Regions from separate parts of the Mus musculus genome. Here regions 2, 3, 4, 5, 6 and 7 are each reported to be linked to region 1. Evidence: microRNA targets listed by miRTarBase, many of them from high-throughput screens and not tested one by one. Region 1 holds a microRNA gene; each other region holds the end of a gene's coding sequence.
The links. Region 1 holds the annotated microRNA mmu-miR-181a-5p (AACAUUCAACGCUGUCGGUGAGU, at 2,022-2,044, shown strand). A microRNA usually pairs through its seed, bases 2 to 8, with sites in the 3' UTR of a target mRNA and lowers its output. Matches are read on the target gene's strand: a 7mer-m8 pairs with bases 2 to 8, a 7mer-A1 pairs with bases 2 to 7 and ends in A, and an 8mer does both.

Region 2: the mRNA of Stk32a is a reported target of mmu-miR-181a-5p. Seed matches in the 3' UTR shown: 8mer at 3,214-3,221.
Region 3: miRTarBase lists Ank1 as a target of mmu-miR-181a-5p. The part of its 3' UTR that is shown has no 7-base or 8-base seed match.
Region 4: miRTarBase lists Smad5 as a target of mmu-miR-181a-5p. The part of its 3' UTR that is shown has no 7-base or 8-base seed match.
Region 5: the mRNA of Otud7b is a reported target of mmu-miR-181a-5p. Seed matches in the 3' UTR shown: 8mer at 2,726-2,733.
Region 6: the mRNA of Apba1 is a reported target of mmu-miR-181a-5p. Seed matches in the 3' UTR shown: 8mer at 91-98.
Region 7: the mRNA of Eml6 is a reported target of mmu-miR-181a-5p. The part of its 3' UTR that is shown has no 7-base or 8-base seed match.

The regions. Positions count from the first base shown.
Region 1 is chr2:38,850,720-38,854,798 of GRCm38, forward strand. It overlaps Mir181a-2 (microRNA 181a-2), which reads left to right and starts at 2,016; the gene lies at 2,016-2,091. The region is part of intron 3 of Nr6a1 (nuclear receptor subfamily 6, group A, member 1); the gene reads right to left. Nr6a1os (a long non-coding RNA gene) reads left to right here. Exons shown (of 7, transcript XR_866167.2): 3 at 1,496-1,640. Mir181b-2 (microRNA 181b-2) reads left to right here and starts at 3,111; the gene lies at 3,111-3,199.
Region 2 is chr18:43,314,678-43,318,756 of GRCm38, reverse strand. Stk32a (serine/threonine kinase 32A) reads right to left here. Exons shown (of 13, transcript NM_178749.3): 13 at 1,276-3,702. The coding sequence ends at 3,603. Among named protein-coding and RNA genes, the nearest start is that of Gm31647, 66 kb to the right of the region's middle.
Region 3 is chr8:23,141,223-23,145,222 of GRCm38, forward strand. It overlaps Ank1 (ankyrin 1, erythroid), which reads left to right. Exons shown (of 44, transcript NM_001110783.3): 42 at 1-7; 43 at 374-498. The coding sequence ends at 472. It overlaps Gm15816 (predicted gene 15816), which reads right to left. Exons shown (of 6, transcript NR_169137.1): 3 at 1,902-1,982; 4 at 1-43. It overlaps Mir486 (microRNA 486), which reads left to right and starts at 1,333; the gene lies at 1,333-1,460. Mir3107 (microRNA 3107) reads right to left here and starts at 1,440; the gene lies at 1,351-1,440.
Region 4 is chr13:56,737,182-56,741,260 of GRCm38, reverse strand. It overlaps Smad5 (SMAD family member 5), which reads right to left. Exons shown (of 7, transcript NM_008541.3): 7 at 1-3,926. The coding sequence ends at 3,783. Among named protein-coding and RNA genes, the nearest start is that of Gm45623, 15 kb to the left of the region's middle.
Region 5 is chr3:96,155,466-96,159,544 of GRCm38, forward strand. Otud7b (OTU domain containing 7B) reads left to right here. Exons shown (of 12, transcript NM_001025614.1): 12 at 1-4,079. The coding sequence ends at 503. Among named protein-coding and RNA genes, the nearest start is that of Mtmr11, 4.5 kb to the right of the region's middle.
Region 6 is chr19:23,945,436-23,949,514 of GRCm38, reverse strand. It overlaps Apba1 (amyloid beta (A4) precursor protein binding, family A, member 1), which reads right to left. Exons shown (of 13, transcript NM_177034.3): 13 at 1-3,805. The coding sequence ends at 3,734. Among named protein-coding and RNA genes, the nearest start is that of Gm34076, 30 kb to the right of the region's middle.
Region 7 is chr11:29,741,246-29,745,324 of GRCm38, forward strand. Eml6 (echinoderm microtubule associated protein like 6) reads right to left here. Exons shown (of 42, transcript NM_146016.2): 42 at 1,806-3,365. The coding sequence ends at 3,341. Rtn4 (reticulon 4) reads left to right here. Exons shown (of 9, transcript NM_194054.3): 7 at 255-301; 8 at 450-508; 9 at 742-3,169. The coding sequence ends at 784. Among named protein-coding and RNA genes, the nearest start is that of Rtn4, 50 kb to the left of the region's middle.

The DNA of each region.
Region 1 (4,079 bases):
CATTGTGGCACACACCTTTAATCCCAGCACTTGGGAGGCAGAGGCAGGTGAATCTCTGAGTTCTGAGTTCGAGGCCAGCCTGGTCTACAGAGTAAGTTACAGGACAGCCAGGGCTATACAGAGAAACCCTGTCTCGAAAACAAACAAACAAACACAAAAAAGAATCTTCAGCTAGGTCAACCATCAGTATTTAAACCCAAAGCGGCTGGAGAAATGATGGCTCATTGGTTAAAGAGTACTGGGGGCTGGAGAGATGGCTCAGCAGTTAAGAGCACTAACTGCTCTTCCAGAGGTCCTGAGTTCAAATCCCAGCAACCACATAGTGGCTCACAACCATCTGTAATGAGATCTGATGCCCTCTTCTGGTGTGTCTAAAGACAGCTAAGGTGTACTCATATATAATAAATAAATAAATCTTTAAAAAAAAAAAAGAGTACTGGCTGCTTTTCCAGAAGACTCAAGTTTGATTCCCAGCACCCATATGTGGGCTTATAACCATCTAACTCTAGTTCCAGGGAATCTGACACATTCCTCTGGCCTTTGAGATTATCAGCCATATACTTAAGCAAACACCCATACACATAAAAATAATAAATTTAATAAATACATTTAAGAAAATATTTAAACACAAAGTATCCTAGATTAGATAGATATTAACCTCAATTCAGCCAGCAGCTCTACAAAGCTTCTATGTTGCTTAAAATAAAGCCAATATTCTGAAAAATGTTTAATTAGTTTTCAAGACTTTTCATAAAAAATATTCAATAAATAGCCAGGCATGATGATACAACCTTTAATCTTAGCACTCAGAGGAAGGCAGGCAGATCTCTGAGTCTGAAGCAGCCTGCTCTACATAAAGAGAGTTCCAGATAAGGGGAGGGGAAGGAAGGGGGAGGGGAAGAGAGGGAGGGATGGGAAGGGAGGAGAGGAGAAAAAAATGAGGAGGAAAAGAGGGAGGGAGGGGGGAAAAGAAAGTCAATAAGTAATAAAAAATAACCACCCAAAACAAAGATCAGATACATCTGGCATTTTAGTTGCTCTGTGTTCTTCTAAAGATTTTTATTTTTTAAGTATGTATGTATGTATGTATGTATGTATGTATGTATGAATGAATGTATGTATGTATGTATGTATGTATGTATGTATGTATGTATGTATGTGTGTGTGTGTTTGTTCAAGTGCCTGTGAAGGCTTGAGTTGACAGATCCCTGCAGCAAGAATTGGTAGTTACAGATTGTGGTTAAGACAGGTGCTGGGATCAAAGTCCCGCCTAGAAAAGTACAAGTTCTTATCTGCTGAGTCATCTCTCCAGATACACTCTCTGTGCTCTAGTACACATAGAATTTTTACTTTTCCTATATGGGGAAAAAAAATCATGGAGCATCACTAGCACTTCTGTGGTAATTTAGCAGCCCATGATTCTCAGCTACTGAGTTTTGTTTTTCATCTTTTTCTCTGAAATATATGACTTTAGATGTATTTTCTACTATTACAGGCAAACAAGAAGGAATTTGCTTGTTTGATTTAGCTCTGCAGTAAAGGTTCAAATCTGAGACTGGTAAAGGAAGGAGAAAGCAACATATCCAACCAATACTGGAACAATGAACTCTGGTGTTCAAGTTCTGGCTATGGAACTCCGGGTAAGTCTCTGTTTCTTAAGGAAAACACGGTTGGAATTAAATATACAAATCCTACTACACATAAGTCCCCAGCATGTGTTATGGTCTTTCTTGTTTTTGTACATTAATAATTAAAGTATTACTACAAAATTGCTATATTGATGTTTTCAGAATGATAGCATTGAAAAATATTTCCACAGATATCCACTTTTAGTCAGCAATGTAAACTGCAGTCTCACAATCCTGCAGCTCATTTCTGCTTTATGCAAACTAACTTCACAGTGTAAGTACTGTTAACTTGAAATTTTGGGAAGAATGTGAGAGACCCAACAGCAGTGGTCCTTAGAATATGAGAGCAGGCCAAAGATGGGCAACCAAGCCAGCCTTAAGAGGACTCCATGGAACATTCAACGCTGTCGGTGAGTTTGGGATTCAAAAACAAAAAAACCACCGACCGTTGACTGTACCTTGGGATTCTTACAGACAACAAGTTTCCTGAAGCAAAGGAGTAGGCTGTACAGATATATCATGTGACAGACATCACAAGATACAGTCCTGTGGCCTCTTTTCTAAAGGGAACCAGCAAGTTTTTTTTTTAAGCTTCCATGTATTTATATTGTCTATTTTTTGTAATTTCTTGATAAATAAGTGTTTCATTTTAACAATTTATGGGAAGTGCCATCATAGTACCAAATGCACTCAAATATCTTCTAGAAATGTGTCATTCTAGTCAGAAATAGGGTGTATTAAAAATGTCTATTTACTGTAGGAAAAAAATCTAGTTAAGTCTTTTATTCTCATTTCTTCTACGTCCTTTCAAATTTTTGCTTTAGGGTCAAGAGATTTACTCAGCAAAAATACTCACAGAGTTACTCACTGTCTATACAAATCATATTGTGCCTCCAGTTTCAGTTACTGCGGTTAGGGATTTGACATCTCCATGAGAGAACCAGATACATTTCCATCTCCATGTGCTAATTTAAGGAATTCTGGGTCATCTCTGAGCCTCCGTATCCAAGTATGTTTTCTCAAATGTAGAATAGGAGAGGAGAGAACCTCAGAGTTTTAATTTAATGAGAAGATATATGAGGGTACTTTGAACAGTTTCTGGCTCACAGCAAATGTTTACTACAAAAATTTTTACTTAACTGCAATCATAATCTATACTGCTTTACCTTGAAAAGGGCACTTAACGTCTCAGCTTGAAACAAAAGATGAAGCAATGTCTCTGAGGGCTCCTTTACAGACATCAACATCCAAGTCTCAGCCCATGTGATCAGAGCTACTTACAAGGTTCTCACATAGTGCCTTCTTCCTCACAACTTTTCTGTCTTGAACAAGTTCTTGCTATACAGTCAAGGTGATCTATAATTATGAGTCCACAACCATACAGATGACTAGTTACTAACATACAACAGACTTCAAAGAACCATAGTGGGAAGAAGAGCCAGGAGATAGAAAAGACCAAGACAATTTCATCAAAAGGAAACATTGATGGCTGCACTCAACATTCATTGCTGTCGGTGGGTTTGAATGTCAACCAACTCACTGATCAATGAATGCAAACTGCGGGCCAAAAAACGCAAAGAAACAAAAGTACTCCCAGAGAGTCACCAGAGTACGGAAGTACTGCTCCAGGTGGGACCTCAATCTTTTATCTAAAGTCTCTTTAGTTTCTTTGCTTCTAATATGGAAGAAGCTCTATAATTCCTAGTATTTTTTATTTTCTTCTCAAATATTCCAAGTTTTGGGAAATTTATATTATCACAGGCAAAAGGATTAATATGCCTTGACATCATAATATTTAAAAATAATACTTAAATATACATAATTATTTTAAAATAAAAGTATATGAAAAGAATTTAAATCTATCCTCATCTCAAATACATTCCTTCTATGAAAACTACATAAAAACATCCATTTAATAGTATTACTCACACAACATAAAGAAAAATTTTATACCTTTGAAGACTTATCTACATGTATAAAAACAGAGGCAAAACTGTAATTCAGGGGAAGTTCAATGGCAACAAAAGGAACTCACTGCTCTTCAATTTACCTTTACACTCAGCTATATACTTTAAGCTTAACAAACCACATTTACTATTATTTTGGCTATTTGTTAATTGTTTTTGAGACATAGTCTTACATATCCTATGCTAGGTAGCTGAAAGTGGCCTTGAATTTCTGATCCTATGTTCTCCTAACTAGGATCACAAGTGTGTATCACCAAGCCTGGTATTGAAACCAAGGTTTTGTATGTGATAGGCAAGCAGTCTACTAATAACTGCAGCACCTGTACTTTATGTTAGTGTACATGTACATATTTTGGTGCATGTGTAAGCCAGGGTAGGTGTTAGGTGTCTTCCTTAATCACTCTCCACTTCATTGTCAAACCTGAGGCATGCCAGCAGGCAACCAAGTTCCAGGAGGCATCTGTCTCCACTTTCTCAAGTCTGT
Region 2 (4,079 bases), not on the chromosome of region 1:
TAATGGAAGTAAGAACAGGTGACCTGGGATGACCCCTCACACATACTTGACAAAGGAAGTCTGAGGGCATATCGTACAGAAGACATTTTAATCCATGCAGGCACATTTATATCACATACACTATGGCTCAACACAAGCATATATATATATATATATATATATATATATATATATATATATATATATATATAAATTTTTTTCAGTCTGGGGCTTTTAAATCAGCCACCAGTTCAGAAAAGCACATAGAATGAAATGTGGAGTCTCGGGGTTTCACATTGAGCAGGCGAGCAGGCACACTGAACGCACGGTGAATAGCAATCACAGGTGGACCGAAGTAGAAGACAGATATTGTGTGGACAGAACACAGGAACACCGAGGAGCTGAGCAATGCACTTGCCATGCCTCATCATTGAACATATGAAAGGCAGCATCCCCGTCAACCTCCAACAGCAACGTGGGTGTCCATAGCCACAGCAACACTCTTTCTTCCTAGTTACTTATTCACCAATCACCAAGAAAGCCAAAACGATAGGAAATCCAGTCATTTCTGGACTTCCACTAATTAATTAGATCAGTGGGATTGATCTAGAAATGCTCTGTGCTGCCTGAGATTCATGCCTGTCCTAAAGATGACCTCAGCCTACACCAGGGCTGCAGTAGTGTCATTGGCTCTTAGCAGGACATATCCTTCCGCAGAGTGAGGATCTTACCAGGGTTGCCCCATAGGTAGCTGCCTCATTCTTCCACTCTGAGTCACTGGGAATGCCCTGGAGATTTTCGGCTGCATTGCAGAGTGGCACTACATCAGGGGCACTCTGGTATTCAAACCCTGCTCAGGCCTTTCTGATGCTCTGTAGAGTAAGGGAGGAAGGAAGCTGCTTGGAGAGATTCCAGGAGTAGCAGAAGAAAGGATAAAGTAGTCCCACTGTTTTCTGAAGTTCTCGGCCCTAATCCTTCTCAGAAATGTGGCTGTTTCATCTGTTGGGTGCTAACTTTGAGCTGCAGTTAGGAAATAAGACCAAGAAGTATTTACTACGAGCTCTTGGAAAAGTTTTCTGTTGTTTGTTTTGTTATTGATGCTTTTCCTCTTCTTTAAAAGGTACAGCAGTAGGTGGTGCTCAGAACCAGCTATTCTGCACAGCCGGATTCAGTGATTCTGTCTCTGGGGATGCTGGGGATCTACCCAGGTCTTCGTGCATGCTAAGCACAGATTCTACTACTGAGCCACAGCCCAAGCACAATGGATTTCTTTTGTGTGTTTGTTTGTTTTTTTTTCCTTTTAACTGACCACACACGGTGTGCCTGTCATTGACCCACCTCCCACCCTGCACTTTCACCAGCATATCCCCAGTTCTGAAAGCAACCGTGCTCAGAAAGATGCCCACTGGGAAGAAAAACTAGAGATTTGAACTTGAGACCTGCTGGCCCTGCTGGCCTTTAGAACGATTTGAAAGCTGCTGTTTTGGAGGATGCAGGCAAGGTCCAGGAGAAGGTGGGGCCAGGTGAGGGCAGGTAAATCCATAACACCTCTAACACGTTGGGTCTTCAATACAGAAGAACAAAAGGCAAAAACTGGAGCATGCATGTGGTCCCTGACACTTGTGGGGTATCAGCCGGGAGCAGAATCGAGTCGTCTCTGGGTTGCTATGTTTGACCCATTCATCCCTCTGAAGGTCAGGGCAGATGCTTTGAGATAAACAGTGATGGAATATGACCAAAATGTCACAAATAAAACGTCAGACAGAACCTCAGAGACAGGAGCTCAATAAAAGAGGTGGGTTTTGATTCTTAAAAATGTGCGTGTGCGTGTACGTGCTGGCGTGCGTGCGTGCGTGTGCGTGCATGTGCGTGCATGCATGCGTGCGTGCGTGTGCGTGCGTGCGTGCTTGTGTGCGTGCGTGCGTGCGTGCGTGCGTGTGTGTGTGTGTGTGTGTGTGTGTGTGTTTGCTCTTAGTAGAGAGGCACTATGTCCCAACCACGCCAGAATCTGGCGAACTGTAAATGCCAGTCTTACCCTCAGCTCTTGTTTTCGACACAAACTTTCTTGCCCCAGTAGCTACCCTCTACTTCCATGTCTGCCTTTCCCAAATGATATCAATCAATCAAGCTGGTCACTTGGACCAGCTTGCTGCCACCATGGCTATGCCTGTACTCTCCATAAGGAATACCATTAATGGCCTCGGTTTCCCCAAGAGTTGAAAACATGCTTTGTAAAGCCACCTACGTCATGATTCTACCTAGCGTCACCAGTGGGGCACTCGAAGAAGTTCTTCAAAGATCTTGTATGCGTGAGCACAGGGCAGTTACAACACATACACAGTTAAGGTGACTGACACTCTGCACATGAGTGAAATACACAGACAAGAAAGTGTCAGACTTCAACAATATGTTAAGCAGCAGGGCAATTCTGCCAGCCATCTCACAGTGATTACATAACGTGGGGGCATCGGTCTCCCTGAATTTGACCTCTGGGATCTATAAGCCATCCTGCTTCTTTAAGTGTAACTCTTGAGTAGATATGTGTAAATTGTTCCCTATTTTAGTTAACCAATACAAAAAATAAAGAGCCAAACAACACAAAGACGTGATATATTTCTTGACAAAAAAGCAACTGACTTTTTTTCCCCCTTCACTTTGTAGAGTTAGGAGTTTCAAGGGAAAGTTTGCTTGCTTCCAAAACTCCTGGAAATCTCTCCTGTGAGGTGTGACTTCACTGAATAGTTCCAAGTAACTCTACCTGTAGTTCAGGAGTACTCTCTGATCCTCTGGAGAAGCAGGTCTCTGCTAACCTTGAGGAAAATTAGCCTTCAAGGGACAAACATACCAGAGTCTGATATTTTACAACTGCCATGTTGGAAAAAAAAAAATGTGTCCCAACTCCCAGCATTTGCTAAACTTCTGCATATGACTCCTCTCATCAGAATCAAGTTTAACTGATCAAGGCCACCTCACACAAGAGAGCGTGAGAGGCCATGCACATAGTAGGCACTTGCAAACAGATTCCGTGCCCATCCAGTTCCCCACTTCAAGATCTCATGAGTCTTTGCTACTTCTAATCTAACCTATGTATTTATTCCCGATGGAACATCTTTATTCCTACCTAATCAAGCTTTGGAATTCTGGCCCCTGTGTGATATTCTCTAGCCCTGAAGAGGCCCACTATGTACAGTGTCCATGTTTCACAGTGTCATCAGAAAGAATAAAAAATAAATCTACATTCAAATATTCATTTAAAAATAAGAATAAAGGCTGTTTAGAGCAATCTGTAGCCAGAGCAAAGAGTAGCTCTCCTGAAATATCCCTCTACCTTCCAAGCGGTGAACTAAAACAGAGGAAGCAGTTAAATGATTCACTTAAGGTCACAGAGTCAATGCGTGCTGAAGCTGGAACTGAAGAGCTCAGAACCAGGGCTCTCTTCCTCTCCTGTCGCTGCAGAGTGCTGCCACCAACTTCGAAGACTACTCATTCATATTCTCTAAGTCATGAGGTGTGGCAGTGGCAGGGACTCCTGTCAGCTCTTCTGTGTGTGATAATCAGGACTTTCCCGCCAGGTGCCAAGAACTGTCCCCCGAAGCACTGTCCCCCGAAGACTCGGAAGCACTTTATAGGTTGTTATTCTGGCCGTCCTCCTCCTCTTCTGTGTTGTTTTTGGTTTGTTCCAAGGCTAGATTTGCTTGTCTCTGATTAAAGTCACTTTTTACTCTGAATGGAGGGAAGGATGGACAGAGGGAGGGTGAGAGGGAGGGGTTAAGGGAAGGAGGGAGGGAGAGAGTGTCATTCATTAAAGGAAAAATGAATTTAAACTTTTGAAATGATAACGTGTAGTCCAATATTTTTCATTCTTTTAAAACAATTAAAATATGATTCCATCATTTCTCCCTCCCTTTTCTCCCTTCCGCCCTTCTCGTGTCTGACCCAGCCCCTCCCAAATCAACTGCCTTCTCCTCTTTAAACATTGTTGATACAAAAAACAAATGAATAAATATATGGATACAAGCTGCTGAGTTCATTCGGTGTTGCCTCAATTTATAAAGAAGTCTGAGCTAAGACAGCTTTTACAAGTCATAGGGTTGGGCTCA
Region 3 (4,000 bases), not on the chromosome of region 1:
CGAGGAGGTGATTGTCGAGGGTCCCCTGGCAGACCCTGGGGATCTGGAAGCAGATATTGAGTCCTTTATGAAACTTACTAAGGTACCAAGGCACTGCAGGCCCCTGGAGGCCGCAGCAAGTTCACCTCCGCCTCACCTCTACTTTGCTCCAGGTTGCAATGCTGCCCCTGGCTACCTTTCTGGCGGACAGATGGTGTTCCCACCTCCTCCTTCTCCTCCTCCTCCTCCTCCTCCTCCTCCTCCTCCTCCTCCTCCTCCTCCTCCTCCTCCTCCTCCTCCTACTCCTCTCTGTCCTGACCCTTCTCACTTCCTGCCCGAGCTTGCTCATCTGCCTGTGTGATTTCCTACTTTCTGTCTCTGATGCTGTCTCCAGGTGGAGCTAAGAGGGAGTGGACTCCAGCCGGACCTGATAGAGGGCAGGAAGGGGGCTCAGATAGTGAAGCGGGCCAGCCTGAAAAGGGGCAAGCAGTGACCTCTCCTCAAGTAGCCCCTTGGGAGGTAACAGTGGCTTTCTCGTCCTTGCTGGCATGGTCCTTGATGAGGTAGCTGCTTGCTGCTCCCAACCCACCCCATCCTTGCACTACTAGCTCAGTTCAGAGTTAAAACCAGACTCTCAGAATCCCACTCCTCAAACTAGCCACTGTCTCTGCCCCTCCACGTCCTCTTCAGACCTGTGCCTCTCTGTTGACACCAGTCTGCTGGAGAGTACACAAAATCAGGGGCTTGGGTTTATTTTGCTTATTTATATTTTCTTTTGTCTTTTTTGGCTGTGTTAGGGGGGTGGGACCAGAGATAGGCATTCTGAGCCACACCTTCAGTCCCTGTGCAATTTAGTTATAAACAGAGTCTCTCTATATAGCCCTGGCTGTCCTGGAACTTGCTAAATAGACCAGGCTGGCCTTGAACCCACAGAGATCCAGCTGCCTCTGTACTGGAATTAAAGGCATGCAGCACCATGCCTGACTGTACCAGTATAATGTTAAAATAGTGCTTTGAAGTAGTGCTCAAAACACAGTCTGAGCCTATCTCACTACACATGGTCAGAAAGCACGCCAGACATAAACCTTAAGGCTCACTGGAGTCCTAACCTGCCATAGCTTTAATTCGATTACTGTTCTGAGAACAAGGCTGCTCGCTTGATGTCTGAGAAGGAACTAAGTTAGCAGACCCAAGGCATAGGTAGAATCTTCCCTGGAAGTGAGGAAGGTCTTCATGGCTAACGGCTGTACTAGTGTGTGAGGGGTGTGCGTCAGGGCGGGGGCCAAGGATGGGTGGGCCAGGCTACGCAACGAAGATCTTCAGCAGGCTGCAGTGCCCAAGAGCCAGCCTCAGCAGCCAGCTCTGATCTCGCCCTCCCTGAGGGGTCCTGTACTGAGCTGCCCCGAGGTCCTTCACTGTGCTCAGCTCGGGGCAGCTCAGTACAGGATGCGTCAGGGTGGGAGACAACGGGGAACAAGCCAGCATCACAGCCTCTGCCCATGCACAGCACTAACTGGGTTATTGCCCCTTCCCCCACCCACCCCCACCCCTGAACTCTCAGGGCCCAGCTCCAGAGCCGAGCAGCAGGCAGTCACTGGTTTTCTGCCTTCTGCAAAAAGCAGGGCCCGCGCAGCCTCCTGGGCCGGCAGAAGTGCTGACTTGATGCTTCCCAACATATCTCAGCACTTGGACAATATGAGGCTGGGCAGAGCCCGATAGGAGAGTAAAATTAGCCCTGACTCCTCAGCAGCTGTAAGGAGGTCACAGTGTTAACCCCAGCACTGCCAGGAGGGTCCTGCATGTCTGCTGATTTAAAGGCCAAGACTCGCTCTTGATCCCGGCTGGGAAACAACCCAAAGGTTCGAGTCATTTTTAAAGGAGGGAGGGAGGGAGAATGTCTTCTTCAGCCCTATCTTTCTTACAGTGGCAGCCGGACTTGCACTTGTGTTTGTTGGCTGAGACTTTATCCAGGGCCTCAATGGGAGGCAGCAACGGCAAGGCAGCTGAAGGACAGGGCAGAAGTAGAGTGTTTCATTAATTTACTGTACCCGGCATGCCCCTGCCCCAACACCCCCCCACACACACACACACTACACACATACACACACACACACACACAACACACTACATATACACACACTACACACACACAACACAACACACACACATACACATACTAAATACACAACACAACACACATACACACACACAGGCACAACACACTTACACACACACACACACACACACACCACACACACACTACATATACACACACTACACACACACAACACAACACACATACTAAATACATAACACAACACACATACACACACACATACACACACAGGCACAACACACTTACATACACACACACATACACTCTCTCACATACACACTACAGAGAGAGAGAAAGGGAGAAAGGGAAGGAGGGGGATATTTGCCACCAGACCTCATGAGTTTAGGAGTCAGGAATTCTGAGCAGCCTGGTTTGGACAGTACTTAGCCTCTGCCAACAAAAGACAGAGGGTGGGTGACTGGGGTAGTGACTGGGCAGAAGAGCGTGCAGTGGCAGGCTCCTGCCCAGGTCTGACCAGGTTGTGGAGCAGCAAGAGTGGCCCATCCTCAGTAAGAAGTTACCAAAGGGCTTCAGGCTCCGTCCCCACCACCACTGCCCCCAACCCCCGCCCCACAGGCAGTCCAGCCGATCCTTGTCATTCCTCTTCCGATTTGCCTACGCCCTAAACCTTTCTTGAAATCCAAAAATGAGCACCCAGTCCTTCCGTGCTCAGTCATTCCCAGACACACAGACAAAGGTGACCACAAAGTGATGGGCATGTGCCGTCCCCAGCTCCACCTTTTCCTGGGTCTCATGCTGCCCTTTATTTTTAATCTATTTAACGACACAGTGCATTTCCAAGTTCTTCATCGTTTGTTTCACTGTTTGTGTGGACGTTCTGTCTGTCCGGGGAAGATGAGTTCTAAGTCTTCCTGAGGCACTGTGTTGATGGCAATGGGGTGAGCACGAGTGAATGGCCTGCATACATGCGATGTGCCACCCTCAAAAAGAAATACACACGCAGCATGCTGATGGAGTCGCTGGCTGAGGAAAGCATGACCTTGCATGTCCCTTGGGAGCGGTGATTCAGTATTCGCTAATCCCACGCTCATACTTTATAGACCAGGACTACTGTGAATAATGAAAAGCATCTTATATGTTCCAAGTGTAAAAACTAGCCTTGGAGTCCAGATTCAAGACTTGGCTCCCCCATTCTGGTCCCAAATGGTATGACCTTAAGTCACTCAACTATCCCCAGCTTTGTACGCCTCAAGGAAAGATGGAGATAGTCTCTCCTGGATATGTGTTACTTATCAATTTAAAAAATGCGTGCAGAACAGGGTGTGGCCCAGCGGCAGAGTGCATGCTCAGCCTGCCTGAAACCCCAGGTTCCAGCCCCAGCGTGGGTGTGGCAGGGGAGTGGGGGCGCAAATAGAAACTATGAGAGGTGTCGTGTCGTGAGGAGTAAAGGTGTATACACTCTGGCGTCCCATCAGTGACAGGTGTTGTTTGTAGTGTGACTCAGGGCAAGTCAATTGACTTTCCTACGCCTCAGCGTTTCCACCCACGCGTCGCAATAATGCCAGCACGTTCCTTGTGGAACTGCTGTACGGTAGCAGATGCTCTTATTTTTGAGGAAGGGCTTTACAGAGTGCGAGGGTCGACAGTGCTCTTTCTCAGGGCGTAGTCCATATCCTGCTAAGAAGATACAGACCCCCGGGGCCGGGGCATAGAAGCTTGCAGGCCTGCGAGAGACTGAGCTGCTGTTCTCGGCTGCAGTTCTGCTCAGTTAAAACCCAGGATGTCAGTATCCGTCACTATGCCGTCCCTGGGATTAGATGCATGGTGAAAGTCGAGTTGTTATGCCGGATTTTGACCCTTCTCCTCAAACTCCTCTCACGTCGTCTGGCATAGTACAAGAATCATATCTAAAAGCAGGCTAAAGTGGAGGATGAGGAGCATTTG
Region 4 (4,079 bases), not on the chromosome of region 1:
GGGAAAATCCTACTGCTGTGAGGGAAATACCCACCTAGCTGGAGATTACTTTCAAAAAAGATGCTCTACCAAATATCTGAGGCTACCTATAAACAACCAATGTTTAGTCGTATGTATACTGAGAACACATTTCTACCGAGACCCCGGATAGCAGAGGATTTACTCGGCCGGACAAAGATGGGTTCAGACAAAGCTAATGGATCTAAAACCAAACCCTCAAAGGGGCTGAATTTTAAAAGCCATCAGAGCTCACTGTACTCTGCAGTGCATGCCTGTAATCCCAGAACTCCAGAGGCAGAGGCAAGAGAATTACTTCAAGTTTGAGGCTGGCCTACATAGTAATTTCCAGGCCAGCCAGGACTGTACAAAGAGACTGTATCCCAAAACAAAATAACAAAGACTTTTAAAAAAGAAATAAAAAATAGTAATTTTTTTAGAGAATCTTTAGGAAGCAAAGAGACGGGACTTTTAAGAGACCAGTGAGTGACAGGGACCCAAGTGCTGCCAGGGAAGTGACCAGAGAAGGTTCGAGGATACTGAGCCAAGCCTCTCGGTGCTCTCTGTGGCAGAAGCACAAATGGCATTGCTGACAGGCGTGCCCTGGACCAGTAAGACTTCACTTCTTCATCTACTCTGTCCTCCCAATGGCGATACTGGCAGGGGATGGAAATGTTTCCCACAGTCCTCTCAGGCATAGGGAGACTGTGAGGTAACCCCAAGTGTTACTTGCACGGTTCATTTCATATTGCAGTGTTACTTTCATTCATACCCCCAAAGGGTGTTTAACTTGGTTGAAGTGTTATATTTAGCAATCTTACTACTGGTTTCATCTTAGAAACTCAGCCACATCTATGACTACTTTTCTTACACCTGCAACCGTGAAACATAGAAAAAAGGGGACACGGATTCCTACTCTGTTCTATTTGTTTGCTCTTTGACTTTTCTTTTTTTATTTTCCTCCAAGACAGTTTCTCTGTGTAGAAGTTGCTCTGTAGACTAGGCTAGCCCCTGCTTCCCGAGTGCTAGAATCAAAGGCATGTGCCACCATTACCCAGCTTTTGATACTTTAGAACTGACTTCCTCCTATAATTTTCTCTAGTTCTGGAAGGCCCACAGCACGCCTACTTACAGCCCTTAAGTTCAGTTGGGTGACATCAGTGAGGTCATCACGCTACGCTGAAGGTATACTAGTCAAATGTACCTCTTGGTCCTGCTTTTCCTAGGCAGCATCTTGTTGCTGTAATCCATCGCTGAGATTTTGATTCTTCCATTTACAACATTTATCAAACTGATGGCAATCTTTATTATTTGCAAATCTTTTTTCCCTGGCAGATACTAATGTATTTTGTATACTAAATACTTGGCAAAGTACATGCCTAGCACGCCTGAAGACTGAGGCTGATCCTTAGCACCACGGAAGCTGGGTATGATGGCGGATGTCTGTCATCCTAGCACTTCAGAGGGTAGAGAACTGAAGGCTACCCTCAGCAACTCAGCATGGTCAGGGTCAGTCTGGGCCCCATCAGAGCCATCTCTGACAAAGACTGTACCGGCACTGGTCTGGTCTGGTGGCTTCTTCAGAGGCCCTACTCCCTGCCCTCTGTGGTTCAGTGCACACTTGCTGTCTTCATCTCACTGTGAGTACTGCCTACCCACAGGCGTCTGTATATCCTTACATACAGTAAGGACAGTACAGGAGCAGGTAGACTACACAGTCTCCATTTACTGACCACAGAATAGGTTGGGATTTCTCCATGAACCTCAGAACAGCTCAGAGCTTCAGTCCTGCCACTGTACAGATGGCAGGCCACATAGGACTCTGCAAGTCCGAGACCTATGACATGAAGACTGTGGAGAGACAACATGTAACCCACTGCTGAAAAAAGGAGCAGGCAAGGCCCTTGTGTCCAGACTTCAGCAGAGCTCACAGACATACACTCACTCAACTCAAGACACGTTCTTACAAACCTGTTCCTGAAGGCTGCCAAGTAAAGGAACATGAACGGTTTCTGCCTCGGCTATAAAGCAGACATCTCTCTCATGGAGCTGACACACTCTTGCTATGGAATACTTATGTCTACAGCTCAAGCTACTGAAGGCTATCAAGGAGCCCTCTCTGAAGGAGCAAAGCCACCCAATGGTTGCACTCTGAAAGGCAATAAATAATGGCACAGAAAACAAAAGGAATCCCCCCCCCCAAAAAAAAAAATAGCTGTTTTCCTCATAAAGGCAGGAAGGGCACTCTAAAAAGTCAAACCAAAATTACATTTTCAGCAGAAGAACCAAGTGGCTCTGTATATTTTCAAAAGGCACCAGAAAAAAACCTTTCTCACTCTGATAGGCAAATGAGGCCTTTTTCTTTATCAAAGTAGTGTCTTCATTCTCAGGCCATGACTGTCCATCTCAGGCCATAACTGCTCCCTAGAAAGTGGTTAAGAGTCCTAAGGACAAGGCACAGTGAACTAGATGAGTGTCTTAAGAGTGTTCACATCCAACAGTGTTGTGGAGATTAGCGTCCATGTAGGTTCTAAAAGGATAAAAAGAAAGAGGCAGAGCGTTGATGCAGAGAGACAAGCCTACACTCTACATTGTCTTGCTATATGACATATGACATGAACTATCCCAATCCCTATTGTGATTCACTTACACCAACAGCCTCATTCTTGGGCCAACCAAAGAGCCTCTACTGGCTACACTGCACGAGTCCTTGTATGACAAGTCTGGTAAGGAGCAAAGGTATTCATACATACATAACCTTTCAATGTCAATAATGCTCATAACATTGTAGGGGACTAACAGGCACCTTAGCTGGAGCTATAGAAGAACAACATTATAAACTACATTGGAAATTAAAGGCTAGAAAAAGCAGCACAGCTCACAGCTGTCATCTCTAAGTGGTCGTGTTGCACAAAGGAGTGCCAAGGCAGCGAGGAGGAGCTCTAAAACCAGGCCACCTAATAGTATTTTACCAGAGGCTACACTAAGACAGTCACCCATAAAAGTGCAAAATGAAAAGATTAATGCACAGGAAAATTAGAGTTCTTGAATTGTTGGCCCAAAGCAGCAAACAATGCTGAACAAGGCCACAGAGCACATAGTAACTAACTGTTAAGTAGGACTTACAACAAATTTGAGTAAATGAGAAATACTTGAAGTTTTTAAAAAGGAATTGTTTTACAAAATATATATGGCATGAAGTCACATTACACTGATGAATATTACCTATATTAAATGTAAATGTATGACGTCCAGAAATCTACCACCTTGCTTTCACTGAACACGTTAGGACTGCAGTGTCCTTCAAACAAGATTCAACAGTTTCCTTTAAGCAAGCCCTACTTTGAGGTTTTGCAAACAATGTATGCTTTTTCAAAGGTGGTAAGGCAAAGAAATTCCCAGAGAAATATCATCTACTGCTTTCCACAATATATGTTCTCTTATAGGATAAAATTTCATTATGTGATGAACTACTTTGTAAAAAAAATTTAACAAATTAAAAAACGTTGGGACAATAAGAAAAAGTACGTTCCAGTTTAAGATCAATGCTAAACATTTCAACAGGGGCAAAATACTCTACATCGTTTACAATACTTTTGAAAGTTAATCACAATGAACACGAATACAAACAAATGTAATATCATCATAAAATACAAATGTGTTGGTCACAATTACGTAGAAAAAATAATATCTGTTTTCCATGTCAGCTCACAGCATCTGTACTGGAAATTCCTCTAAAATTAAAACAAGTCCACTAAAAATATAGTTGAAAGAATACTTCTGCACTATGAAACAGAAGAAATGGGGTTCAGCGGAGAGCCCATCTGAGTAAGGACTTTATCCAGCCACTGCAGAGGCCCGTGGAGGTGAATCTCAATCCAGCAGGGAGTACTGGTGACGTCCTGTCGGTGGTACTCTGCTCCCCAGCCCTGGAAATGAACAGGCAGCAAAGCAAATCGCTCTTGAACAGTCAACAGTCCACACTAACTTTAACAATAAAAAGCTTAACTGCAGAAACACATAAGACTTACTTAAACTACAGAAAACCAGTAAGCACTCACATATGGTATTAAAAGACACAT
Region 5 (4,079 bases), not on the chromosome of region 1:
AGGACCAGCCCAGTGACTCCCCCGCAGAGCCCAAGGCGATGGCCTTCTCTACTGCTTACCCTGGGGGCTTTACTATCCCTCGGCCTTCTGGGGGTGGAGTCCACTGCCAGGAACCCCGGAGGCAATTGGCAGGGGGGCCATGTGTAGGGGGCTTACCATCATATGCCACCTTTCCCAGACAGTATCCTGGGCGACCGTACCCCCACCAGGACAACATCCCAGCTCTGGAGCCAGGCAAAGATGGAGTTCACAGGGGTGCCTTGTTACCACCCCAGTTCCGTGTGGCTGATTCCTATAGCAATGGCTACAGAGAGCCCCCAGAGCCAGATGGATGGGCTGGAGCTCCACGGGGACTTCCCCCAACCCAGACCAAATGCAAACAACCGAACTGCAGCTTCTATGGACACCCTGAGACAAACAACTTGTGCTCTTGCTGTTACAGGGAAGAACTGAGGCGGAGGGAGCGGGAACCTGGTGGGGAACTGCTGGCACACAGGTTCTGAGTGGCTGGAACCTTAGTGGGGACAGGGGCTAAACAAAGAAAGTTAAGCTCAACTCTGGCTCATCAGGACCCAGCCCCTGTGTTGATGGGGCAAGTGCAGAGAGGGGTGTGGGGGCTGGAGTGCTGGCAGTCTGGTGGGAGCAGGGCTGGGCTAGCTAGCACTACCCCAGGGCAGTACTGCTCCTGCGCACACAGTTGACTTGAGACTTCAAGGCAGAAGGGGGAAGCTCATAACCTCTTCTGTCCCAATCCCAGGGCCCAAGGGAAAGTAGGGAAATACTAGGTGTGTGTGGGTGGGAGGTGGGTGGACACCTTCGGGGAGGAACCTGGAAAGAAAGTTCTCAAGTCAGTTAAGGAAAAAATAGACCAAAGTTCATTGACTTTAGAAAAAAAGCACATGGTGGTGTAGTTGGGAGTATTGAGTCGATCTGAGATACTGAACAAATTTGATTTTGGTTTGAATTAGGTAGATATTAGGGTTGAATAAATTCTCCCTGAAGGATCAAGGCAGTAATGTATGTGCTTGGCCTGGTTACACAGAAAGGGTGGTTTAAATCCCAGTGAATGGAAATAGGAAGGAGGAACTTAAAGGGGAGTCTTTCCTAGAGAGTTTTATGTTCTTCTAGATACTCATCTGCCATCCATTCTAGTTTTAGGGGAGACTGCCTGTTGCCCTACCTTTTCCTCATCCTTTTTAAGGATTGAGCTCAGCTAAGTTAAGATGTGATTTTTTTTTTAAATATTTTTTTTTAAAGCAAGTTCCCTTTGGGAAAGAGAAGAGTGGTAAGAAGCAACCTTGTATATGGGGTTTCTTCAGGTGAACGGGTGCAGAGTGATCTATTTTTTAACTACTTAGCAATAACTACATGTGGGTTTGAGTGCACCTGAGAAGGGGTGGAGGAGCCCAGATGTTTGGCTAGACTGTTTGAAACAATACCAAAAACCTCTATAGAGCACTATCCTCTGCTGCTGTGTTTCTGTAGAAAGCAACCTATTTTACTAATTTTTTAAAGAAAGACAGGACCCTGACAGAGAACATTTAAAAGTTACTGACTCCTGCCCCTACCTAAGTGGGTTTCTCCTTCCTGTCACTTCTGGAGAGTGAACTTAACACCCTGGCTTCTTTTGTTAAGCCGTGGCTGACCTTAATCTGTGGTTAGTTTATTAAAATAATAAAAAATACTTTGTAAGAAAAATTATTTTTGATATTAGGGCTGGTGTTGAAGCATGGGATGGGGGCTAGGGGCCACTTTGAAAGGTAGCTAGAGAACTCTATTTTAGTGAGCTGTCGCCATGGGCCGCACGGTCCCAGTGATCTGACCTGCCTTTGGATATCTCCCTTTTCCTGAGCCAGCCCTGTTCTCCAGAGGGGTAGGGCTGGACCCAGTGGTGAGAGCTCCCTTGCAATTTGCACAAAGCACAAGTCTGGACAGCTTCTGCTCTGACCAGAGCTATTTCTAAGAGCTTTAAACCTGAAGGCTATCCTGCGCCAATTGTCCCTTCTCCTTATTTTTTTTCCTGGGGAAAAATCATCTATGCAATTCTATACAAATGAATTCTGTGTTCATTTGTGGATGCAAATGAAGAAGGGGTGAGTGCACTGCACGTGTCCAGAGTTACCTGGGGCTGTTTCTGGGCTCCAATTTCTCTGCTGAGGTATGTCATCACCCACTAATGGAATGTTATCCCCGAATTTGATTTAAGTCACAAATGGCTAGATGTGCATGTTTGTGCGTGTGTGAGATGGGACTCCAGTGCATGTTTCCTCTGCCTAGTCAGAAAAATGATCAAACACCTCTCTTTGGTAACAAAGCTAGTCAAGACTTCTTTATGGAATTATTAAGTTTAAGAAGTTGTCCCCCACCCCCTCAAAAAGTTTGAAAGTCATTCACTTCCAAGTCTGCCAATCTGTTGATTTCATAATTTCCCATCATTATTTTTTGACTATTTTTTGTTTGTATCTTTGCTATGTAGCCCTGGCTAGCCAGTCTGGTACTTGCTATATAACCCAGGTTAGCCTCCAACTCATAGCAACCCTCCTGCCTCAGTCTTCTGAGTGCTGATACCTAGGCATGAACCACCACACCCAGCTTTCTACAGGCTGAAACCTAGTATGAGATAAGCATTTCTGGCAGGTGCATAATTTAAAGATCTACTAGGAAATTGAGGGTTATTTTTGTTTTGTTTTTAGATAGGATCCTATCCTGTAGCCCAGGCTGTCCTTGAATGTATATGATCTTGCTTCAAATTTGCCAAGTTCTGGGATCACATCATACCAGACATTTTTTAAAATTTCAATATATAAGCATTAAAAACCCAGATTGAACAAAACATCAAAATCTTAGGATGTATCAGGAATGGTATTAAGGTGAAAGAGGTAAGAGCCCTTAATTGAACAAATATGAGGACAAATCCTGTCTACTTAAATTGTGATATGTTCATAAAGATGTTTTTACATTTAAAAATTTTTATTTTCTTTAAATACTGTATCAAGACAGTACTTATCTTGATTCGTGAGTTTTAAGCACTCCTTCAGTTTTCTCCCAGTGAGTGGTAGGTGAATGCCTCGTGCCTTGCTAGCATCACCTCAGACTTGTCCCAGTTTCTGAAGCTTGAATAATGCAGGTGAAACCTTCACCGTGAGCCCCTCTTCCTGGCTGCAGTCACCCTGTGTGCACTTCTGTCATCCTTCTCCCACAACATACATAGGATGCCTACCTGCCTGGGTGGGAATGCAAACAGCCCAGCAGGGGTTTTCCTGTAGAATAAAACCAGGGAATTCCATTTCCTTTGGGCTGCTGTGTTTGGACTTGGTCTGTTATTAGATTGTATAAACTGAGGACAAATGAAGAGAATCAGAAAACTTGTATCATGTTGTTTTTATTTATATAGTACCCAATCTTAGTTCTGCTTGCCTTTCTGAAGAGAAAATAAAAAAGTTCCAGGGAAAGGGAAGAGAGGTCTAAGGTCATATGGGAAATGGGTATTGGGTCTTTTAACTTTTTGTTAAATTAGTTTTAATTTGGAGGGTGACTATTAAGGCATCAATTTTAAAGATGAGGGACTCTGAGACATTATTATTTTTTTAATGAGGGCTTGTGAGATTTTCATTCTGTGTTTTTTAGGGTGGAGGAGGGGTTGAGTAGGGGTGGAGTTAAGGAACGTCTGGGAAACAAAACAAAGATCAACTTGTTCAGAATAAGCAAGCCCATGCAGATACTGTGGTGGGGAGAAGGGAGGGTTGTGTGGGGAGCATCCACGTGAGTAAACCTTCCTTATTTACGAGGGTCCTGTGTGTGATGGGGGTGGGGGTCCTAGACGAGGTAAGTCCTCATCTCTCAGGCTTACATTAAGTGCAATTACTCTTTATAATCCAGGGCATCTGGGGTCCTACTAAAGTTTTAACGGAGAGAGATCTTCAGGGTTCTTATTTTCCTCCTTTCCACTCTCTCCACCCTGCATCCTCTGTACCATCCCCAACTTAAAGCCAGTACACCAGAGGGCTGACCTCCAAACCCCTTAACTCAGGCTGGCTTAACTGGGCAGTGGTGGCTCACACCTTTAATCCCAGCACTTG
Region 6 (4,079 bases), not on the chromosome of region 1:
ATACATCACAACCCCAAACCAGACAACTGCCGCCACGGCACAAAGAAGGGGAGGGTGGGCCAGGACCGGTGACCAGACTGTCAGAGGAAATACATTCAGTGGGTGTGCAGTATCAACATTCCAGGCTCACGTGTAGATATATTTTATTTATATATATTTATATTTATATATAGAGATCATTGAGTTTCGTGTATACAAAGAATGATATTGTTACAAATACAATACTATACTTCTCCCGATGTTTTACAGTAAGCGCTAATGTTACAGAACAGGGGTGTGGGTTCATACCCCAAGTGCTGTGCTAAGTATGTACAAGAGATTTCATTCCCACACAGTCATCACACACTGCCTTAGATGGAGGGAAGGTAAAATCAGGGTTTGTGTACTCAAGTGGACCCTAATCAGGGAGGGAGCAGACAGAGGTGAAACTCAAACTAACAGGTAGCCTGGTGAAGGTGAGGGTTAAAACATCAGCGAGAGGTGGCCCTTGGTTGTAAACATTGGTGACAGCTACACCAGTGGGTGGAGAGACCTGAGCAGGGCTCCGTGGGTGGGTTTTCATCAGTGTGCCAAGGGAACATAGGTGTGGGTGGGGCTGCAGGAGGAGGGAGGGGGAGCTATGGGGGAGGTAGTAGGTTACTCTGGACTCCCTGAAGGCCAATGTTGATGGGCGAAGTTCAGAAAGCAAACCCGTGTGCAGGGAGGTGGCAGCCTGCCTTGTGCTCTACTCCCCTCCACCCCCTGGAGCCTGCTGTGGGGAAGGGAAGGGATCGCTCAGGAAGTGGGCTACTGCCATGGATCTGTGAGCCTTCCCTTCTCTCAGGAACTCAAGGCTGATGGTGGCTCCCTGAAAAGCTCCCCAGGAGGAAGCAGAGGCAGAATGGGTTCTAGTGCAACCTCATTGGACTGGGGGAGGGGGGAGGCGGGGAGTGTGTGTGTGGATCTGGGAGCCTGCCCCAAAGCCAAGTCACCAGCGCGTTCCAGCTGAGTGGGCAGAGTGGCTTTGTGCCTTGCAGTTCGAGGAAGGCGGCTCTGTGGGTAGTCGGCCCCATTAGTGAGAGCGATGAGATATTTACATATGTAACTGTGTATATGAAGATGCCAGACAAGACCTGACCCCAAGTTTAACCATTCAGTCTGATGCTAGCAGAGGAAGAACACGCTTCAGCAGGGGGCCTGGACCAGGGGACAGCTTTTCCCTCTGGGAGGGAGGACCCTCCCTTAACACAAAAGACTAAGTAATCCTTACAATGATGCTAAACTATTAGTTCCCTAGGAGAGCTTTGCAAGAGAAGCTTTGCTTTTGAGCCCCTCTTAAAGCTTCCAGGCTTCCTGTGCAAGGAGAATGGAAAGCATTCTCTTTCCTCTTTCCCTGGGGTGAAGAGACTTCATTGTGATGACTGGGCGTGATGACTGGTGGGGTCTGCCCCTGACGGGTCCCAGGTTAGCCTCCGAGGTCCTGCTTCTGCCTTCCTGTCCAGACGGACATAAGCCTGTCAAGGGACTTTACCAAGGTTCCCAATGCCAGAGATGGCAGCAATAATGTCCCTCTTTGTCCTACCCATCATCTCTGGCAGAGGAGAGATGGACCACAGCCTTCAGTGTGTGGTGATGTTAGATACCTGACAGATCACTTATTTCAGATATAAAGAAAACCCAAGGCTTGTCCCCTGGTCTCCACATTTGCTGGGGTCTGACCTTGGGCCTGGCCATGCAGGAGCATTCTGTTAAGACACCCTTAAAATCAAGTCCCGATGGCCCGGCTTCTGTGGTCCTAACTCCACATAGCTCTCGCAGCAGCAGGCCCGGTCCTTCTCAGGCAGCTATCTGGACAGCCGGAGGCCTCATATCACTGAGGCTTTTTGTGCTAGAGTCAAACTGAGGGCTCACGGCAGATCCCAGCAAGCACCGGGCTTTCCCAAATCTCTCCAGACATTTCATGAAGTCAGAGAACCCAGGGGTTGGCTGTTTCCCACCCTGGCTGAAGCCCCTTATTCCATCTCTTGTTCTATTCACATCTCTCCCTCCCCCAGACCCCTCTCTTCCCTCCATAAATCCATCCTTCCCAACACTGCTCACTGAACTCCCATTTCCAAAGATACAATATAAATATCCCAGATGCAGAGAACAGGGATTATATTCATACTACAAAATATATTAGTTTTTTTTCCCCCCTGTCTCTACTGAGGTCATCAATGAAACAAAACAAAAAACAAAAACAAGAACAAAAACAAAAACAAAAACAAAAACTAGCCACATCCCACATGGAAACAAACTGCTCTTTGGACCAAGAATAAGTGGAAGCTGGCTCAGAATGATATTATTAAAACACATGGACTAGACTGAGACGTGATCCACAACGTGAGGCAACTGATGGAGGCACCAAGCCCTCCATACTAGCTGCAAACTCCCAGATCTACAAGGCAGTAGGGCGCGTTTCGGGAGCACAGCTGGGGATTCTAGGCCCACCACCAAGTGTTAAGTCTGCCCGATTTAGTGGCTTATCTGTTCTAGCCTTTATAATATCACATCCTCACTAGTAGCTGTGAATGGGCCCAGGCTGGCTTAGCCTTGGGGCAGGGAAGCAGGACACTAGGGCACTCACATCACAGTTTGACCCTCAAGAACCTCCAGTGTGTACATGGGGTGGGGGGAGTCTTAGAGGGAACTCTGAGCCAACTGTGATAGAGAAGGCCAGGACAGTGTCTTTTTTAGGACAAGGCTGGCTGCTTTCTGCCTATGTCAACCTGCTAGGGGAAGGGATCTTCCAGAGAGGAGCTGGGGGTTCTCCACAGGGTCTGTGGTGCTAGGTTTTTAGCCTGCTTCAAAGCAGGTAGAGGGCAAATGTGACAGTGTGCAGGGCTCATGTGTGTGTGTGTGTGTGTGGTACATGTAAGAGCTTGTGCAGTAAGTACATTAGGAGGGTAATACCTGCCTGTGGCTATTCTCCAATTTGTAACCTTGGACAATCTAGGGACCTCGGAGGCCCTGTGATTTGCCAGGATCTCTGTGGTGTCACAGCAGCCCTATCCAGGGTGTCACTTCCTCATTTCTCAACAGTTAGGCCTGCATTAGCACACACATACATTGCAACTAAAAGAAACCATGGGAGAGATTTAAAAGTGGCTCAGAAATTCTGGGCAGAAATAATGTACAGGGCCCCCAATGACATAGCAGGCAGCGAACATCCTTAAAGATGTGGGCTTTAAGGATGTTCAACGCTGTCATCTGTTGCCAACTCCTTTCCTATCAAGTGAGGTGAGGAGGGCAGAGAGATCAGCCACTGAGTTTTAAGCACTGCTCAGTCACCTCCACGCTGCCTCTGGGAACTTCCTCAGGGAAGTATGTGTCTCCCGGGGAGGGATGGTACCTCCGTGGGCATCCCCCAAAGGCCCTCCACCATGATCCCAGGGAGATATTAGCTGCTCTCCACCCTCAAGAGGGCACACACAAAACTTCCCTGGTATTAAGGAAGGAACAGAAAAGAAAAAAAAGAAAGAAAGAAAGAAAGAAAGAAAAAAACCAAACAAACTGGAGAGAGACAGAGAGCAAAGAGGTCCTTGCTGATTCTTCTCTTCCCGTGTAAGACCAAATGTTGGGCGCCAGAGGGGAATGTCTCAGTGGACACACGGGTGCAGCACAAAAAACACAACCACGGTGAGGAGAGTCCTCCATGCATGCCGCTACGCCATGCCACGCCACGCCACACCACGCCACATCACGGAGATTCTGCTCAGATGTAAACGGGCTGCTCCTGGGCCGTCAGCAGTCGGTACATGGCTGCTGGCATTGTCTTCATGTGGATCTGAGGGCAGAAAGCCACGTTAGCTGGGGCTGGGGGTAGGACCTCTCACTATATACGGTTTCCAAGACTGCCTACCCTCGGCTCTGGGACCTGGTTTTGGGAGACTGAAGCCCACGGGCTTTCTAGAAAGTTGCGGTGACTCTAAATGGTAAGACGATATGGGTAAGGCTTAGTTTTCCAGTTAAAGGCTCCAGCTTTTAAGGCCATTTGGAAAATAAGGAAGGGACCATGGGAAGACGGACTCTGGCTTCTGGCAGCCTGCTTCCCTTTCTTG
Region 7 (4,079 bases), not on the chromosome of region 1:
AAGCTGTATTTTATAGAATCTCTGTGATGTGATTTGAAGCTAAGCATGGTTCCTTCAGCACATGCAGGAGAATGTGAGCATTTCCCAGGCCTCAGGAGAATGTCAACATTTATGTAGGCTTTAAGAGTACTGTCTGGTTACCTTGATTACTATTGGCTTGATAGTATGATGTTGACTCCTAGAATGGTACCAGTCTTCTTTTTTTTTTTTTTTTTTTTTAATTTATTTTTAAAGCTCTGTGTTTACTTTTTCAGCTCTGATCTCACTCTTCAGTATTCCTGTTATATATGAACGGCATCAGGTAATTTCTTAACTGTGGAGATTGCAGAATATAGAGCTCACTCTTATTATAAAGGACTTAGAGCTAGTCTTTAGTTTGTTGGTATGTAGTACTGATTGATATTCTTTGGCAATATTAATTTTATAATGCTTTTATCCTCTTTTCTCAGGCGCAGATAGATCATTATCTAGGACTTGCAAACAAGAGCGTTAAGGATGCCATGGCCAAGTGAGTATGCCCTGCAGCCTTCTTACCAAGGGCGAGACCATCATCCGGCAGTGTCCTTCTGAGGCCAGCATTAACTCTTTTTAATGCTTTTTTTTAAAAAACATTAGGCAAAGGTGGAAAATTAGTTTGTATTTTGGTAGCTTTATGATTCTCTAAATAATATACAGCATAACGTTTTTTAAAGAAGTGGGAAACAAACACAAAATTTGACATTTTTCTTTTTTCATTTGTAGAATCCAAGCAAAAATCCCTGGATTGAAGCGCAAAGCAGAATGAAAAGGCCCCAAACAGTAGACATTCATCTTTAAAGGGGACACTCCCTTGGTTACGGGGTGGGCGGGTCAGGGGTGAGCCCTGGGTGGCCGTGCAGTTTCAGTTATTTTTAGCAGTGCACTGTTTGAGGAAAAATTACCTGTCTTGACTTCCTGTGTTTATCATCTTAAGTATTGTAAGCTGCTGTGTATGGATCTCATTGTAGTCATACTTGTTTTCCCCAGATGAGGCACTTGGTGAATAAAGGATGCTGGGAAAACTGTGTGTTATATTCTGTTGCAGGTAGTCTGGCTGTATTTGGAAAGTTGCAAAGAAGGTAGATTTGGGGGCAGGAAAAACAACCCTTTTCACAGTGTACTGTGTTTGGTTGGTGTAAAACTGATGCAGATTTTTCTGAAATGAGATGTTTAGATGAGCATACTACTAAAGCAGAGTGGAAAAATCTGTCTTTATGGTATGTTCTAGGTGTATTGTGATTTACTGTTAGATTGCCAATATAAGTAAATATAGACATAATCTATATATAGTGTTTCACAAAGCTTAGATCTTTAACCTTGCAGCTGCCCCACAGTGCTTGACCTCTGAGTCATTGGTTATACAGTGTAGTCCCAAGCACATAAACTAGGAAGAGAATGTATTTGTAGGAGCGCTACCACCTGTTTTCAAGAGAACATAGAACTCCAACGTAACCGTCATTTCAAAGATTTACTGTATGTATAGTTGATTTTGTGGACTGAATTTAATGCTTCCAAATGTTTGCAGTTACCAAACATTGTTATGCAAGAAATCATAAAATGAAGACTTATACCATTGTGTTTAAGCTGTATTGAATTATCTGTGGAATGCATTGTGAACTGTAAAGCAAAGTATCAATAAAGCTTATAGACTTACCTTTGTGTTTAGTGTTTTAGTTTCATGAATGCACAGCAAAAACACGGTGGTAGGCTTAGAGAGTGGACACATGGTAACATGCTTTTAGAAAGGTTTTAGTTCATGAAACAGCTTAAGAACAAAGAATATATTTACATAGTGAGATTTATTTGACTCATAACAAAAGGTTTTAAATTATTTTATACTTTGAAAATAAATTCATGCACCAATATTTTAACAGAATACAGTGCAAGATTTATGAATATACATAAAATTACACCATATAAATTTTACAAATAAGACTTTCAAAGTCTTTATAACAGACACTATTGCTCTTCAAATATATACATATATCATTGATTAGTCAGTTGTTCATCCACATGGTTACTTAATGCAAGATCTGTCTGAATGAAATGTCAGTAGTACAAGACAGGCAGACACAGTGATCACTCAGCATCACCAGGTACAGAAAACAGAATCAGGGCTGCATAGGGCTCTACTGAGGACCCAGCAACCTGCTAGTGGGTTGATGTAAGGCATTAATAAGTTGGCGTGTAAAATAGCTTAATGTGTAATCTAATTCTTTTAGAATGCTGAAGCACTTCTGTGGTAAATGTTGATAATCTATTCTTTAACTGAAAATGCTTATTTCAACCTTTCTCTAAAATGGCAACTTCATATAACTAGAAACTCAAGGTCTAGAATTTTAGTGCACAGACTGGAAGGACTCGGTGGTGTGTGTACTCACGACTCCAACTCCCATCAGCCTTCTTAACTAATAGTCGTCAAGTCACATTCTGTCCGACAACTGACTGGAGAAACTCAAATACTCCTTACAGTGGGGAATATGTTCAAGAGGTTTTTAAAAATCTGAATTTACCCTGCATTAATCATCTGAAATGAGCAGAGCCAAGCCAGTCCTACCCAAGAGGGTGTAAACTAAACAGCAAGACAGCTCACTCGTCACACTGGAGCTTTCCCTGCTTTCCGTGTTGCTACTTTCTGTGGAGCTGGACTCTTCTTTGCTGCTCACCTTATAACTGCTTTCCTAGAGCAGGACATAGTGGTGAATTTGCTAATCCCATAGCCCTCCTCAGTTTTGAAGTTTTAGCACCATGTGAAGGAAGAAGACGACATGGGAGGTGAGGCAGCAGCCCACACAACTGGGAACTTTGAAGGCACTTAATGGATATAAAACTGCAAATGAAACTTTTAAAAATTAACATTTTAAAACTTGTTTATACATGGCTCATTTAGTTTTGAAAGCTAAATGTGGCAAACAGGGTATTTCTGTACTTAAGTGCTTCCAACTTACATTGTGTCCAGTGAACATTCTTAAAATACATAGAAACAGAATAGCAAAACACCTTTGTAAAAGTCTTAATGCAAATTAAACGCTACATATTGGTTAGGGTAATTGAGGATGTAAATTTTATCTGTGGGCTACATCATCCCAATTTTGCCGTTAGTGAAGTTACAATAAGTATAGGTTTTAGTCTCCAGAACAGAAGCAAACAGTCTTAGTATTCATTCTTGGCATCACCATCTTGCAAAGTTCAGATTATGAGAGTCCTACAACATCTCTGTTCAGAGCTTGTGTGTCCCACAGCAGTTGGCGTCGAGGAGGTGCCCCTGCACTGCCTACAAGTAGCTTGGGAGAAGCAGCCATAGTGCACGGGGTTCCAGTGTTTACAGACATCGCCACACAAATACACTGAAAGGCAAACGACATTTTTGTGTGGTCAGATACTATAATGCTGCCAAGTGTTCCAGACTGAAAAGTGTAAACCCATTGCAGCCTACTCTCCTTCCCCGTCATCACTTGGGCTTTTTTTGTTTTTTTTTAAGGTTTTTTTTTGGGGGGGTTGGGGTGAATAAGGTTTTACTATGTAGTCTGAGGATTATAGATGTGAGCCACCATGTCTGGTTTACTGTTCTTTTTTGGAACAGTTCTTTGATGTGTGTCTCCCTTAGACTCCTTTTGCTGCTTTGAGCATTTGTGCATAATGAAGTCACTGGAGACTTGGCAGCCCAACCTCACACTATCTGTCCTGTGACTATTGAAGAGGGTTGAGTGTGTTTGAATGGAGCCCTTTTTACATGTTATACACCATGTCCTCAAGGCCTTATGCTTTTAAGTTACTTTAAGTCTTGTTTGTAAACAGAAGTCACTTTGTATTTCCTGCACTGGGCTGGCCAGTTCGTTTAGGCCTTTTCTTCCCAACTTGTTCTGTTTGGCTGGTACTGTTTGGAATGAATGTTCATTATTCCAAAGGAACTGGTGTAAGTAAGTACTACCCCAAGCAATAATCCCCGCAATAGCTAGCACAGTGAGCTGGAGGTGGCTCAGCAGGCAGGCCATCACGGCGCACTGTGTTCTTTATAGGTGCCTCTCTTACAATTTGACTCAGATCACTAAAAACATCAA